Linked DNA regions of Coturnix japonica. The protein of the gene in region 1 purifies or fractionates together with the protein of each later gene. This does not show direct contact. Links are inferred from orthologs where the notes say so. Each region holds a gene or a part of one and is shown in the gene's direction. Other genes may lie near its edges.

The links. Proteins that work in one complex are often made in the same cells at the same time.
Region 2: the proteins of CTNNA1 (region 1) and TES purify together in Homo sapiens (affinity purification with mass spectrometry; 3 studies listed by BioGRID and IntAct, with this or other methods). This does not show direct contact. The link is inferred for Coturnix japonica from reciprocal best matches to the Homo sapiens genes CTNNA1 and TES.
Region 3: the proteins of CTNNA1 (region 1) and CDH5 purify together in Homo sapiens (affinity purification with western blotting; 4 studies listed by BioGRID and IntAct, counting the BioPlex papers as one, with this or other methods). This does not show direct contact. The link is inferred for Coturnix japonica from reciprocal best matches to the Homo sapiens genes CTNNA1 and CDH5.

Annotation. Positions count from the first base shown.
Region 1 is NC_029528.1:14,040,071-14,044,072, forward strand, and holds the start of CTNNA1 (catenin alpha-1), read left to right. Parts: upstream 1-1,201; 5' UTR 1,202-1,336; intron 1,337-2,481; exon of another isoform or gene 2,482-2,502; intron 2,503-4,002. UniProt on the Homo sapiens protein: Associates with the cytoplasmic domain of a variety of cadherins. The association of catenins to cadherins produces a complex which is linked to the actin filament network, and which seems to be of primary importance for cadherins cell-adhesion properties.
Region 2 is NC_029516.1:22,616,833-22,620,896, reverse strand, and holds the start of TES (testin), read left to right. Parts: upstream 1-1,260; 5' UTR 1,261-1,455; coding exon 1,456-1,482; intron 1,483-4,064. UniProt on the Homo sapiens protein: Scaffold protein that may play a role in cell adhesion, cell spreading and in the reorganization of the actin cytoskeleton. Plays a role in the regulation of cell proliferation. May act as a tumor suppressor. Inhibits tumor cell growth.
Region 3 is NC_029526.1:10,029,655-10,033,847, reverse strand, and holds the start of CDH5 (cadherin-5), read left to right. Parts: upstream 1-1,389; 5' UTR 1,390-1,404; coding exon 1,405-1,527; intron 1,528-4,193. UniProt on the Homo sapiens protein: Cadherins are calcium-dependent cell adhesion proteins. They preferentially interact with themselves in a homophilic manner in connecting cells; cadherins may thus contribute to the sorting of heterogeneous cell types.

The DNA of each region.
Region 1 (4,002 bases):
ATCTACATGGGCTGAATTGCCTTGCTCCAATGTATGCTCTGCTCCCTGAGGGCTGCCCAGCTCTGTGTTTTGATTGGTATCAAAGGACAGAGCAAATAGGTTCAGGTAACTCGGAAATGCTGGCAAATGAGTCATGAAATGTATTACAGTTATTCATTTGTTTTTACAATCCAGTACGAGCGTAAGTTCTGTAGAGATATTTGAATTAAAAGTCATGTCAAAACAAACTATGAAAAATACCAGTGATTTGATGCAGGGAAAACGTGGTCACTGGCTGTCTTCAAAGCCTCTGAAATACATTACTCCTTGGAGACATCTCTCCCCATCCACAAATCTACATTCATTGACTAACACTCAGCTCCTAAAAGCTCCCTAAGAGCAGGAGCTGCCACTGACCGCACCAAGCAGCACAAGGATGCTGCTTCAGACTTCTGTGTGTTGAGATGAGACACCAAAAGACCAACTAAACTCCGTAACGTCCCAGTCAGGAGCCACAGCACCAACATGGGACATGACAGCAGCTTCACACTGTGACTTTGGGGCCTGCAAGGCTCTTCTAACAGCACTTACAGACTGTCTGTCCAGCCTGGAGCACAGCAGGCTCTGGGGTGACCCTCTGGCTCTGTACAGCTGCCTGTAGGAGCACTCAGTGTTGTGGCAAGTGACAAAACGCAGGGTGAACGCAGCACATTGCACGAGGGGATGTTTAATTTGGGTATAATCACAGAATCACAGAATTGTAGGGGTTGGAATCTCTAGAGATCATCCAGTCCAACCCCCCTGCCAAAGCAGGCTCCCTACACCAATAATAATCATAATTTCTTCATACAAAGGATGGTAAAACACTGGAGCTGGCGATGAGGCCCCGTCCCACAGGCACTGAGAGTGTGGATGTGGCCCTTGGGGGCTGCAATAGTGCTGGTGGGGGGTGGGCTGGGGGGTCCCTAAAGTCTTTCCCAAGCGCAGACATGCTGTGATCTCACTCTGGCCGGTAACTGGACAATTTTTGCTTGTGACTGGAATTGTTGGTTCTGCCCCAAGCACGAGGTGTGTGGGGCGATGTGAGGGTGCTGCAGCCGGGCCTGAAGGGGTGCAGGGCCGAGTGGAGGCGGTGGGACCCCCATGTCGGGCTGACCCCCATGGCGGGCCCTCACCTGCCCGCGGGGCGGCGCGGCGGGCGGTGACGGGAACAGCGGCCGGGCGGGGCGGGAGCGGCGGCGGGAGGCGCCCGGAAGAGCCCATTTCCTGCTCGGGACGGAGCGGGTGCGGCCCAGACAAAGCGGCCGGGGGTCGGTGCGGGTCCGGCGGCGCAGCGCGGCTCCTCGTCCCTGCTCCGGTAACTATCGCACTAGCGCCGCTTTAACGGCGCCTTGGAAACTTTTGGCGGCGGGACGGGCCGGGCTCGGCTGCATTGGGCCCCGCGGGGCGGTCGGAGCTGAGGCCGCGGGCGGGGAGCGGGGCCTGTGGGGCTCCGAGTGGGGCGGGGGCAGCGCGGCCTGGGCCGGGTTCCGGGAGCGGGGCTCGGCCGTGGGGCTGTGGGGTCGTGGGGCTGTGGGGCCGCGCTGTGTGTGTCGGTGTGCCCCGTTTCGGGTGATCCCGGATCAGGGCGGGCGGGGCCCGGCAAAGTCCGGGCAAGTTTCGGTGGCGGCGCGGAGTTCGCTGAGACTTTTCCCCGAGGGCTCGGGCTGCCCGCATGGCTCCTCGGTTCGGCTCCTCGGTTCGGCTCCTCGGTTCTGCCCTGGGCTGTTCCGACGCTTCGGGAGCGGCCTGGCTCTAAGCGCGGTTCTCTCCGTCCGCCCCAGCTGGGAGCGGCGTTGGGCGCTGCCCCCGCTCGTCCTTGGCCGGCCACGACTTGTGTCCCATCGCTCCTATTTAAAGCGTGGGGTGAGAGTGTCAGACCCCAGCTGCTGGCTCACACCAGCCCTCCCGGGGTCACCAGGCGCTCTGCTTTCACACACTGAGCTCAGCATAACGCGTGTGAAGCATCCCGGTGTGGGCACAGCGAGGTGTGTGTGTCTCTTGCTGGGAGCTGGCTGCGGTCTGCCCCCATGTTACCCCCCCACACCCCGTAGAGCTTCCAGACCCCTCTCTTGTTCCCCCTTTATTCCCTGCTTCTGTCTGCCCGTCCTCACCCAGAGGGCGATGTCTGTGTCTGACTGAGCTGCCAGTCGATAACCCCCATGCCCTGCAATAACTCACACTCCCTGTTTGCATTAGGAGTGCCCGTGTCCTCGTTCCAGCACCCAACGTGACCACCCATGGCATGGCTGAGGTGACTGGATTCAATTGCTCTTTCCCCTCACCCCCCACTTCCTTTTCAATCTTCCCCCTCCCTCCCGTCCCCCCTTTTATTTTCCTGGGACAGGGGCTGAATAACCAGAGTTGTTCCTGATGCTGGAGTTGCTTCCTGTGTTATTCCTGCGTGGTGAGCAGGGAAGAGGAGGAGGTGGGGAGGCTCTGCTGGTTGCATGGATCCCAGTGCACATCCCCAGCCCGGCTCTGGTGAGGCTTCACACACTGCCCAGCTCAGTGGGGCCTGTCAGCCCTTGGGCTGGGCTGTGGGGTGGTCATTTTGTGTTTCAATGGTGTGAAAGCCAGTTTGCTTCACAGAACTCGTGGTCTTTGGGTACGGTTTGGACCATCTTTGGGTGCTGTGTGTTTGCTAACACTTGTTTTTCCTTCCTGTAGTGAAATATTTTCTTTGGAAAGGGCATCATTTCATGTTGAGTCATTAACTGATTTTTTTATTCAGAGAAACAGTTTTCAATGGAAATATCTTAGTTCCTCTTCTGAAAAGTCAATGATTTAGTTCTTGGTTGTTTTTTTTTTTGAAGGCTTTGCCCTAACCTTTTCCATAATAAACAACAAGCTTTCAGCCTTTAGCTTTTTCCAGCCAGCTCTAATAATAGAGCAGTGGAGATTAAAAGTTTACCCAGGGTGGCGGGGGGAAGCACAGCGGGTGGAGATTAGAAATCCCGCACCCAAAACGGTGACTTAAAATATTGTAGCGAGTATTTATGTCTCCATAAATTCTCCAGCTTCGTGTAACATCAGCATTTCCAGTGTCTGACATGTGTAATGGCAAATACCAATATACAGCTGCTTCACAGGGTGTCCGTGGGTCTGATAAAGTTAACTGAGAGATGTAATAGAAAAACAATTTGTGTGTTTTCAGCAGCATGAATATCTTCCTCCCGCAGCTGTGAGATGGAGAAACTGATCTTGCAAAAGAATCCACATAAGTAGAAGTGTTTATGAGCTGGAAATAGACTTCAGTAGAATGTCAGACCTTCATTGAAGTTGCATCTACTGTTAGTTCTTAATTTCTAAGGTTATTTTCTTATGAAGAGAGTTTGTTAAGTTCATGGAAGTATTTAATGGCATGGCCAGTCGACTCATCATGGATGCTTAGTAAGGTTGGTATTGAGTGAGGAAGTACAAGGCCATGGTCCTCCCTGAAAGGACTCGGTGTATTGCATCTGGGTTGGTTTTACTGGCACCTCTTGGCTTTGGACATCAGAGGAAACGTGGTGAATAAAAGAGGACTGAATATTATGTTAGCACAATACCATATTGAGATGAGGTCATGTAACACAAAGCTGAATGCCCGTTGTTGTTCCCTGCTGAAGTGCCTTAACTGGAAATCACTCGAAGTCTTACATTGTAGAACATCGGTGTGTATAACCTTGAGGATTTGGGTTCTTTATTACTTCTGGGAATCCACCCTACCTTGGCTTTATAGCTAATCAGGAGTAGCACTGTATGTAGCTCATGCATTGGTCAAACTGAGTTACAGCTTTCCAGGAAGTGCAGATGTTTGACAGTTACTACTTGTATTTTCATATGGCTTTAATCCAACGTGTGAGGCTGGAAAGAAAAACTGCAGCAGCACCTTTGTTGGAGGAACCCAACTGGCAGCGACCTGTGGGGCCATAAGGCAGCAGTGGCTGGCAGAGCGCGATGCAGTGATGTGCCTCATTGAGTTACAGGAGGAATGCAGTT
Region 2 (4,064 bases), on another chromosome or scaffold:
CAGTCTCCTATAAGGTAGCTGTGGAGAGCAATGAGGTCACCCCTAAGCCTCCTCTGTGGCAGATTGGACAATCTCAGCTCCCTCAGCCACTTCTCTTAATTCCAATGCTTCAGACCCTTCACAGCTTCATTGTCTTTTTTTGGGCATGCCCCAGGACCTCAGTGTCTTCCTTGTAGTGAAGGGCCCAATACTGAACACAGTATTTGAGGCATGGCCTCACCAGAGCTGAGTGTAGGGGGGCAATCACCTCCTTGGTCCGGCTGGCTGCAATATTTCAGATACAACCTTGAGATATCCTCTCAATTTTTTAGTGAATTTCCTGGTCAAAGTTTGTTTCATGGGTTCTGTGGTAGAAATACATGCACCATGATACCTGTTCCAGCAGAAAAATCAAACAGAATTTTCCTTTTACCTGTAAACAGACAGCAAAGAGATACAGACTCATTTTCCCTTTGTTGCAGTCACCTCTCCACAAGTAATGAAATGACAAAAAAAAAATAAATAAAGTACTGAAAATGTACGATGTAAGGCATGAAAACAACTGGTATGCGTGTAGAGAGAAGATTAGACTCTTCAGATGAGTGACAACCTACTAAATCATTCACTTAAGACTATGAATGTTTGCTATTTGTTTCCAAAGATCTAAAGGCATTTATGTATGGAAGTAACCAATCTTGCAAACGTTTAATCACTCTGATATTTTATACTGTATATACATGATACATAAAGTACATTTTACATTATCGGCTCCCTTCCATGACTGATCACACATATGGGAATTTGAAGGCTGGGGTCAAAGTCCAAGTTTTATATCACAGTATTCATCTGCAGCCAACAGAAGAAAAGTAATGTTGCTCAGCACCGTGACTAAACAATAGACACTCCTCTAAAGCAGCACGATGAGATAACACGCCATGAGATCAGTCCCAGCAGTGCCAAGATCCCTCCAGCCGCTCCAGGTGGAAGTCAATCCACTTGGAAGATATCGCCATTGATATCACCATTGCAGCGGTGAGAGGGCACCCAAGCGGATCCACACAGCTGTGGGAGCAGGCAAGGCCCCTCGCTTTCTTTCTCCTTCTCCCATCAGTGTTGGAGATTCCCAGGTCTATTCAGTTCTCCCCCTCCACAGAAGCACGGCCGCACCACCAAACACCCTCCATACAACCCAGGAGCCGTGACCGGCGGGGTGGGGATTGGCTGAGGGCGCGGGGACGGGAGGGGGGGCGGGCGGAGATTGGCTGCCACCCCGCCTTTGTTCGGCTGCAGCCGCTGCCGCAGGGCAGCGGAAGTTTGAGCGCCGCGGCGGAGTGCGAAGGGCGGCGCCGGTTACCGGTGCTGGCGCTTTGGTCTCGGTGTGTCGCCCGCGGCTCCGCTCAGCCGCCTCGATACCGGCCGGGGGCTGTTCCCTGCCTCGATCTGCGCCCCGAGCCCTGTGTGCGGTGATACGGCGGCATGGACTTGGAAAGCAAAGTGAAAAAGGTGAGGTCGGGCTCTGCCTGCTCGGTTACCTGCGCAGCGCCTGGAGCGGCTCTGTCTGAAGGGAGAGGGGAAGGGGAGAAGCGGAGACTGCCCGCAGCCCCTGTCCTGTGGGCGCTACCGCTTCCACTTTGGGTCTGGTGTGTCCCCGCACACCGATGGCCGTCCCTGTGTAAGCTATTGGAGTGTTCATCCGAACGCTACGAGCTGAATCTGAGCACTGGAGTCGTGCTGCCCATCAGCTCTTGTAAGGTCTTCCCTTCCTGGTGGAGGAAGGTAGGTGGGCAAACAGCGAATGGTAAGTTGTAGAAACTGGTAAGTAACCTGGTTGTATGGATCCTTTTCTGAAGCTGAGCTCCTGTGGGACACGGCCCTGATCCTCACTTGTGCTTTTGTGAATTACATGCTATGCTTGCACAGCAGCTCCGTTTGTGAGAACTTTATCAAGTAGTCTCAGAACTGGTACTGTGGAAGTTGAAGCCTTGTATGAGAATGCTTTAGAAATCCGTGGGTTGCAGATGTGGGTGATTTTGTGTTTCTGTGTTGTTATATTAAAGTGTAGCACCTTGTTTTAAAGTGTGCTTGTGCACACGCATATATGCACGTATATATGTATACAAACTCAATAAACTTTTCCAGATTACAAACTAGGAACTGGCCCAGATGCCAGAGTAGCTGTACAGAATGCAAGGCTATTGGTCCCCTCAGGACTGAATGCTACTGAAGCAGGTTTGCCTTAAGTCACAGCTTTCTCTGAGTGATGGCGTGACTGAGCTTGTTCACTGGAAGTTGTTGAAACTCCATTAACACTAATGCAGGAAATAGAGCGTTCCTTCTCAGAACTTCCCTGTCTGAAAGGAGAATAAGTATGTGCTATGAGGTGTTGATGAGATTCTACTGATGATGGAGTTTTGGAGGAGTTTGTAGAAGCTGAACATATGCTTTGAATTGTAACGTAATTATTGGACAACTACACATGCTGTAAGTTTGTCTCTTCTCTTAATTTTCTTCAGTCGTGTTTCAATCTTCTTTTTCTTCCCTGAAGATTTTTCAGAATCCGGTCAAACAGTTGTGGTAGCTGCTGCTACAACAGAAACCAAGAAAGCTGTCTGTAGGATTTAATTTGTCTTTTCTGTTAAGCTCTACATCATAGAGCGTCTTTTAGCAGTATTAATAAGAGCTTCACGTTTCTTGAATTTCTTCTATATATGTGCTCAGAAAACCACTTTTATTTCCCTCCTCATCCATGTTGACCTCTCCTTATCATGTTCTTTCCCTCTTATGGTTTAGTTGAGATTCCTTTTCCAGGAGAACACTGATCTGTTACGAGTCAGAGCCAGGATGAATGAGGAAGTTTAGTTATCATAATGGTATGTCCTATAATAAATTAAATTCTTTCTTTTTTGACCCCTGTTATTTACTTAATCAGAGCTTCCTCAGATTTTGTACACTGGAAGGAATGTATGAATAATAGTTCACTTCAACTATGCAGTGTCTTTAACCCAGGTCTTTTAATTCTATTTGAAACTTGTTTCCCCAAATTTTACTTTTCTCTTGTTTATTATTATTATTTGCTAATTTTCTTCCTCTTTTGGGAGGTGAGAGAATATTCTGGGAAGCTTTCAGTCAAGTTTATGGAGGCCAGTAAAGCGCTTTGAGAGAAATCTGTCTTCAGGTGGAGATGGCCCCATCAAACTTCTTTGGCCACTTGCAGTAGGTTGCAGTCCTCACTTTCTGTTTTCCTGCCCTGCACCTTGGGCAGAAATGCCAACTTTAACAAAATCAGTGTGCTGAATTCTTATTTTGTATCAACTTCTACCATTCGTTGGACTCAAAATAAGCACTAACTACTGAACTACTGGGCCTGCCTGGTGGATAGGAAGTATCAAGATTGAAACAAGGAAGCAGGAGTTGCCACATTGTTACCACTTAGGTTCCTATTCTGTTACTCTGAGCTTGAAAATCTGAGTTTAGAAATTGACCAGTCCGTAACCTCCAGATTACGTAGGACAGAGGGAAACAAATTCAGTATGGAGTTTCAGACCATCAACTCATTGCGTAAAACAACTTCTTTGCCTTCCTACAGCTGTTAACTTAAAACTGGGTAATATAATGAAACTCATTTTCTTCCTGAAAATGATAAGTTTCCAAAGTGGCACTCTTAAGATTTCCCTGTCTCACAGTATCACAGTCTTGTGTGGGTTGGAAGGGACCTTAGAGATCATGTCTCAAGAGCTTTACAGTCTGTTCTTCAGTTGTGAGCATAGATGCTGGCTCTTTGGACAACTGTGAGTAGCTTTCAAGGGGTTGTTAGTGTACTTAAGAGAAACGCAGGTAGATATATGAATAGTGTGTTTATATCTGGGAGTCTAGGGTTGTACTAAAAAAACATGCTTCTAAAATGGAACAAGAAAGTTTGTTTTCAGTGCTCACATCAGGTTTTTGTGGGTTTTGTTTGTTTTTTTTATCCCTCAAAACTTAATTCTAGCATAGTTCATCTCACAGGAGTTGCTTCCCCCCTAGTAGAAGGCCACTAGGGCTGAGGCAACCTACCTGTCTTACTACAGGAAGAACTGCTGCCTCAT
Region 3 (4,193 bases), on another chromosome or scaffold:
AATCTATACAGAGGGGATCATTGTGACCTCTTATAACTTTCTTCTGCACACATTTCTCTAAACTTTACAGGAAATGCCCTCTTCGACCATATTTTCAGTTCACAGCCTTCCTCTGTACTTCCCACAGCTCTTAAACCCCCAAGTCAGCAGGTCACTTACTGAAATGCAAGCAAAGCAGTCAGGAAGCTCTGGGAGGGCATTAGTGTAGGTTTCATTACTGCTTTCACCATCCTTAGTTCACAGCTATTCACACACTGGTGTGGAGGTAGCTTTGTTTCTTAAATAATATATATGTATTTTTTTAAAGGCCAATATCAGTGCTTGCCTCCCTCATTTTTACCTAGTTCTGTGTCAGAAACAACAGAAAGACCAGGAGCCCTGTCTTGCTGCCTGCTATCAGTCTGGCGTCCTTTGCTCGCTGCTGACCATGGGCTATCTAATCAAAAGAAAAGAATCTTCAACATACACACCATATTCACGGTTATTATTGTTTAAAGGGACTATAAATAACAACAAATAAACATTTTTTCATCTATGGAAGAGGTGTCTGACCTGCCCAAGGACTCCATCCAACCATCAGATGCAGTTGTATTTTCTACCACCTAAGAGAGAATTGTTTGGTATGCTGAAGAGATGGAAAAAATCATTATTTTCCCCAGACTCACCAGAAATGTAGAGCTGAAATCAGAAAGAACATACAGAAAGAAAAAAAATGCTTTTTTTTCTTCAGAAAAAAACATGAGGTAACAAACTGTGGGCCAAAATCAGACACAGAACAAACTCCTCAGCTCCGCTGCGGAGCTCCAGTGCTAAGAATACAGAGAATACAGAATACAGTGCTCACTCAATACAGAGTGATGTGGGATTTTTTTGCAGTTGCACATTTGGTTAAAATACTGCTGAAGCGACTGTTCATTCAAAGCTACTATCACAAGTATAAAATGCCATTTAATAATCAGCTTTCAGGCAGGCATTTGCAGTCCAGATTGTTTAGTCATCAAAGTGGCTATTTACTTGAAGGTACTATCATGCATATAAAAAGTCATTTTATAATCAGTTTTCAGGTAGGCATTTGTGCTCCCGGCTGTTTAGTCATCAGTGGAAGCCACTTCTCAGGTGTATAAAGCCGACATAAGGACAATCAACACCATAATACTAGGCAGCCAGGCACCAGGCACATTTAAATCAGCTCAATAAGCTGGAAACCAAAAAGCAGCACAATGTTCTCAGGAAAGACCCACTTTAGAATGAATTATTGTACATTGTTGAGAGTATGTGACAAGACAGCTTTAATCAGAAACAAGAGAAGCGCAGAGGAATAATTTACACAAAGAAGAGTAACAAGAAATGCTCTCTCCGAGTTAAATGTTGCACAACCTCCCAATGTGTCACTGAAGGTTGAAGATGTGGTTCCCATTCCCACTGAACTCACTATGTGTCCTTAACTATTCTCACCCTGTAAACTCACTGGAGCAAAGGAGGACTGCTTTTTTGCAATTTAGAAGCCACTCAGAGCATGCAGTGCAGGTAACAATTCTATCTGTGTCATTACTTTGCTGCCTTGTCTCTCCGGGTTTGTCAGAGCAGGTTAGAGCAATGTTGTCTAATTAGGAGATCAAAAAAATTGGGAGAAAAAAATCCAAGTCTGCTGTTAGTGCTGACCTCAGTCCATGACAGGAGATGGCAAAGAAATTTAAGTCCTCTGTGCTTCAAAGGTACCTTTTGAAAGGGATACAGCTTTTCATCTAGCAGCAGTGCTTTTCACAGATCTGAGAAGGTTTTATCCATTCATGTTAGCACAGCCATTTGCAGTCCCTGAAATGCAGCAGTAAGTACTGCTAGGGCTACTTTCTTCTAATCAAGTTTTGTCTGCTTACCAAACATGCTCCTTCTGCAAAGCACGCATAGCATGCATTAATCTACAGGCACTGCAAAGATGATTTATCTTCCTTACATTTGGTGGTTACTTTTCTATTTCTTACTGCCTACTGTATTCAGAAATTCACATTTGGTCTTACACATTGTATAAATGAGAAAGTAACAGTAAAACTGGGCTCTGTAAGGCAGAGTTGTTTTGTTAGACAAAAAAAAAGTTGTTTTGTTGAGTCAACCTGCTCTCATTAAATCTAATGTGGCTTCATTAAGAATAGCAAGTGTCCAGATATTGAATCAAAGTAAAATTTTTGCACCTGAACAACATCTAATTTTGAAGAGTTGGCAAATTCAGCAGAATTTTCACACAGAGCTGCCTAGGGAGGGGACAGGGAAAGGCTTATAACAATACTTGTGGTAATACAGACCTCCCCCTGGAGGGGAGTTGCCAGTACTGTGTAACAGAATATAACCTGTCTTGTATTATTCACTTATCAGTCATTTTCTTATTTTTTTCTACCCTGATGAAACTCTCAATTTCAAAAGAGATTTTTCATTTTCATTTACACTGTTCAGATTCCGACCATGATACTGTAAACAAAAATAATCATTAAGTTTCCAGCTCAACAATCAATAATCATTTAGTTTCCAGCTTTTTATAACAATCAGGTATGCAAATTATCTGAATATAAAATTAAAAAAAAATAAAATTAAAAAAAAATAAAATTAAATTTAAAAAAAAAACAAAAAAAACAAAAAAAAAAACCATGGGAAGAGTTATTACAGGGGATCAAGAAGGGCTTATTTCTTCCCTGGTGTATAATAGTGACTTCCAAGCAAATTCCTCTCTTAGGATATTTTACATCATTACTTCTGTCTTGCCTGGAAACAAATGCCACAAAACAAAAGCTCTCTAAGAATACCTTAATCTGATTAACACCTCAGTTTAGCTACAGATGTCTGCATATTTATCAAAGTCTTCATGTAGAAAAGTGGTTTAAGTTTGACTTAACATACAAGCATAGAACAAGATTTGTAATTAATTAACCTAACCTCACATAAGCACGAATAGGTAATTTCAGAGCAAGAATTAAGCCAAGTAAAAGGGAAATACCAGAAAAAAAATAAAATAAAATAAAATAAAATAAAATAAAATAAAATAAAATAAAATAAAATAAAATAAAATAAAATAAAATAAAATAAAACAACAAATGTTCATTAGAATATTCCATCAAATGTATTTTCATTGAATGGACACTATTTATCATCAGACTTGTTTGATTACTTACTAAAATAACCTGCAAAATGCAAATTTCCAATCAGTACAGTATTACCTGCATCTTCACTTGATTTTTCTTTAATAATTACTCCCAGTCTGCAAGAAGAAACTACACTGTACGTATCAGGTGTCTTATAAATCAGTCTGAACACCAGCATCTCTCAGTTAAATGTCTACAGTACCCTGCAGAACAAGTTATTTTCTGAAATAACTCAATACATAAAATGAATAATGCTGGTGGAAGAAATATCATTCGCTGTAAGAAAATTTAAGAGCATAACAAGAAGTTTAAGTATTTGAATAAGCCATTCCCCTGCTAACTTGGAGGAACACTTACAGTCCTTGCTTAAATTAAAAAAAAAAAAAAAAAGGTTTGAATTATTAGTAAGAGTCAGAGTGCAGCAGGACCCTGCTTCCAAAGTGTCTGTATGTGCTGCCAATAAAGGGCACCCTGAAATACTGTGATGAACAAAGCCACAGATCCAAGAGGGTTTTTAAAGTATGCTTTAATCAAGACTTGACATTTGAGCTATAAATGTTTTCTGCAGGTCTATAAAATTATTAGTTGCAGTGAAACGAATGGCAGCTCAAGCAGGCAGTGCTGTCCTCAGTTTCACCTGCTAACCTCATCACAGCAAAAATCCATGAGATCCCACAGGACCACAGCAATGAGAGGAAATGGCAGCTGAAACACTACCATCTGTTTTTCCTGAAGTACAGACTGTACCAGCTCACTTTAGCCAAATGGTTTTCCTTTGGTTACCATGTTTTGTAACTTTATGAACAAAAGATGGAGCACAGCAGCATCAAATTCAGTGCCTGACAGTTCCAGCTGTAAAATATTTGGGATATACGGATAAAATAAAGCAAAACAACTGTATCTTACTCATTTTTTTCTAGGAATAAGATAAAATAAAGCCAAAGTAAATGCACAGAAGAGAAATAAATAGCTGATTCAAAAAGTTTTATATAAATCCCTAAAACTGTACAAACCACAGCTCAGCTATTAAATAGCAGCTTTGAAGGCAGCCTATTTAGTCAT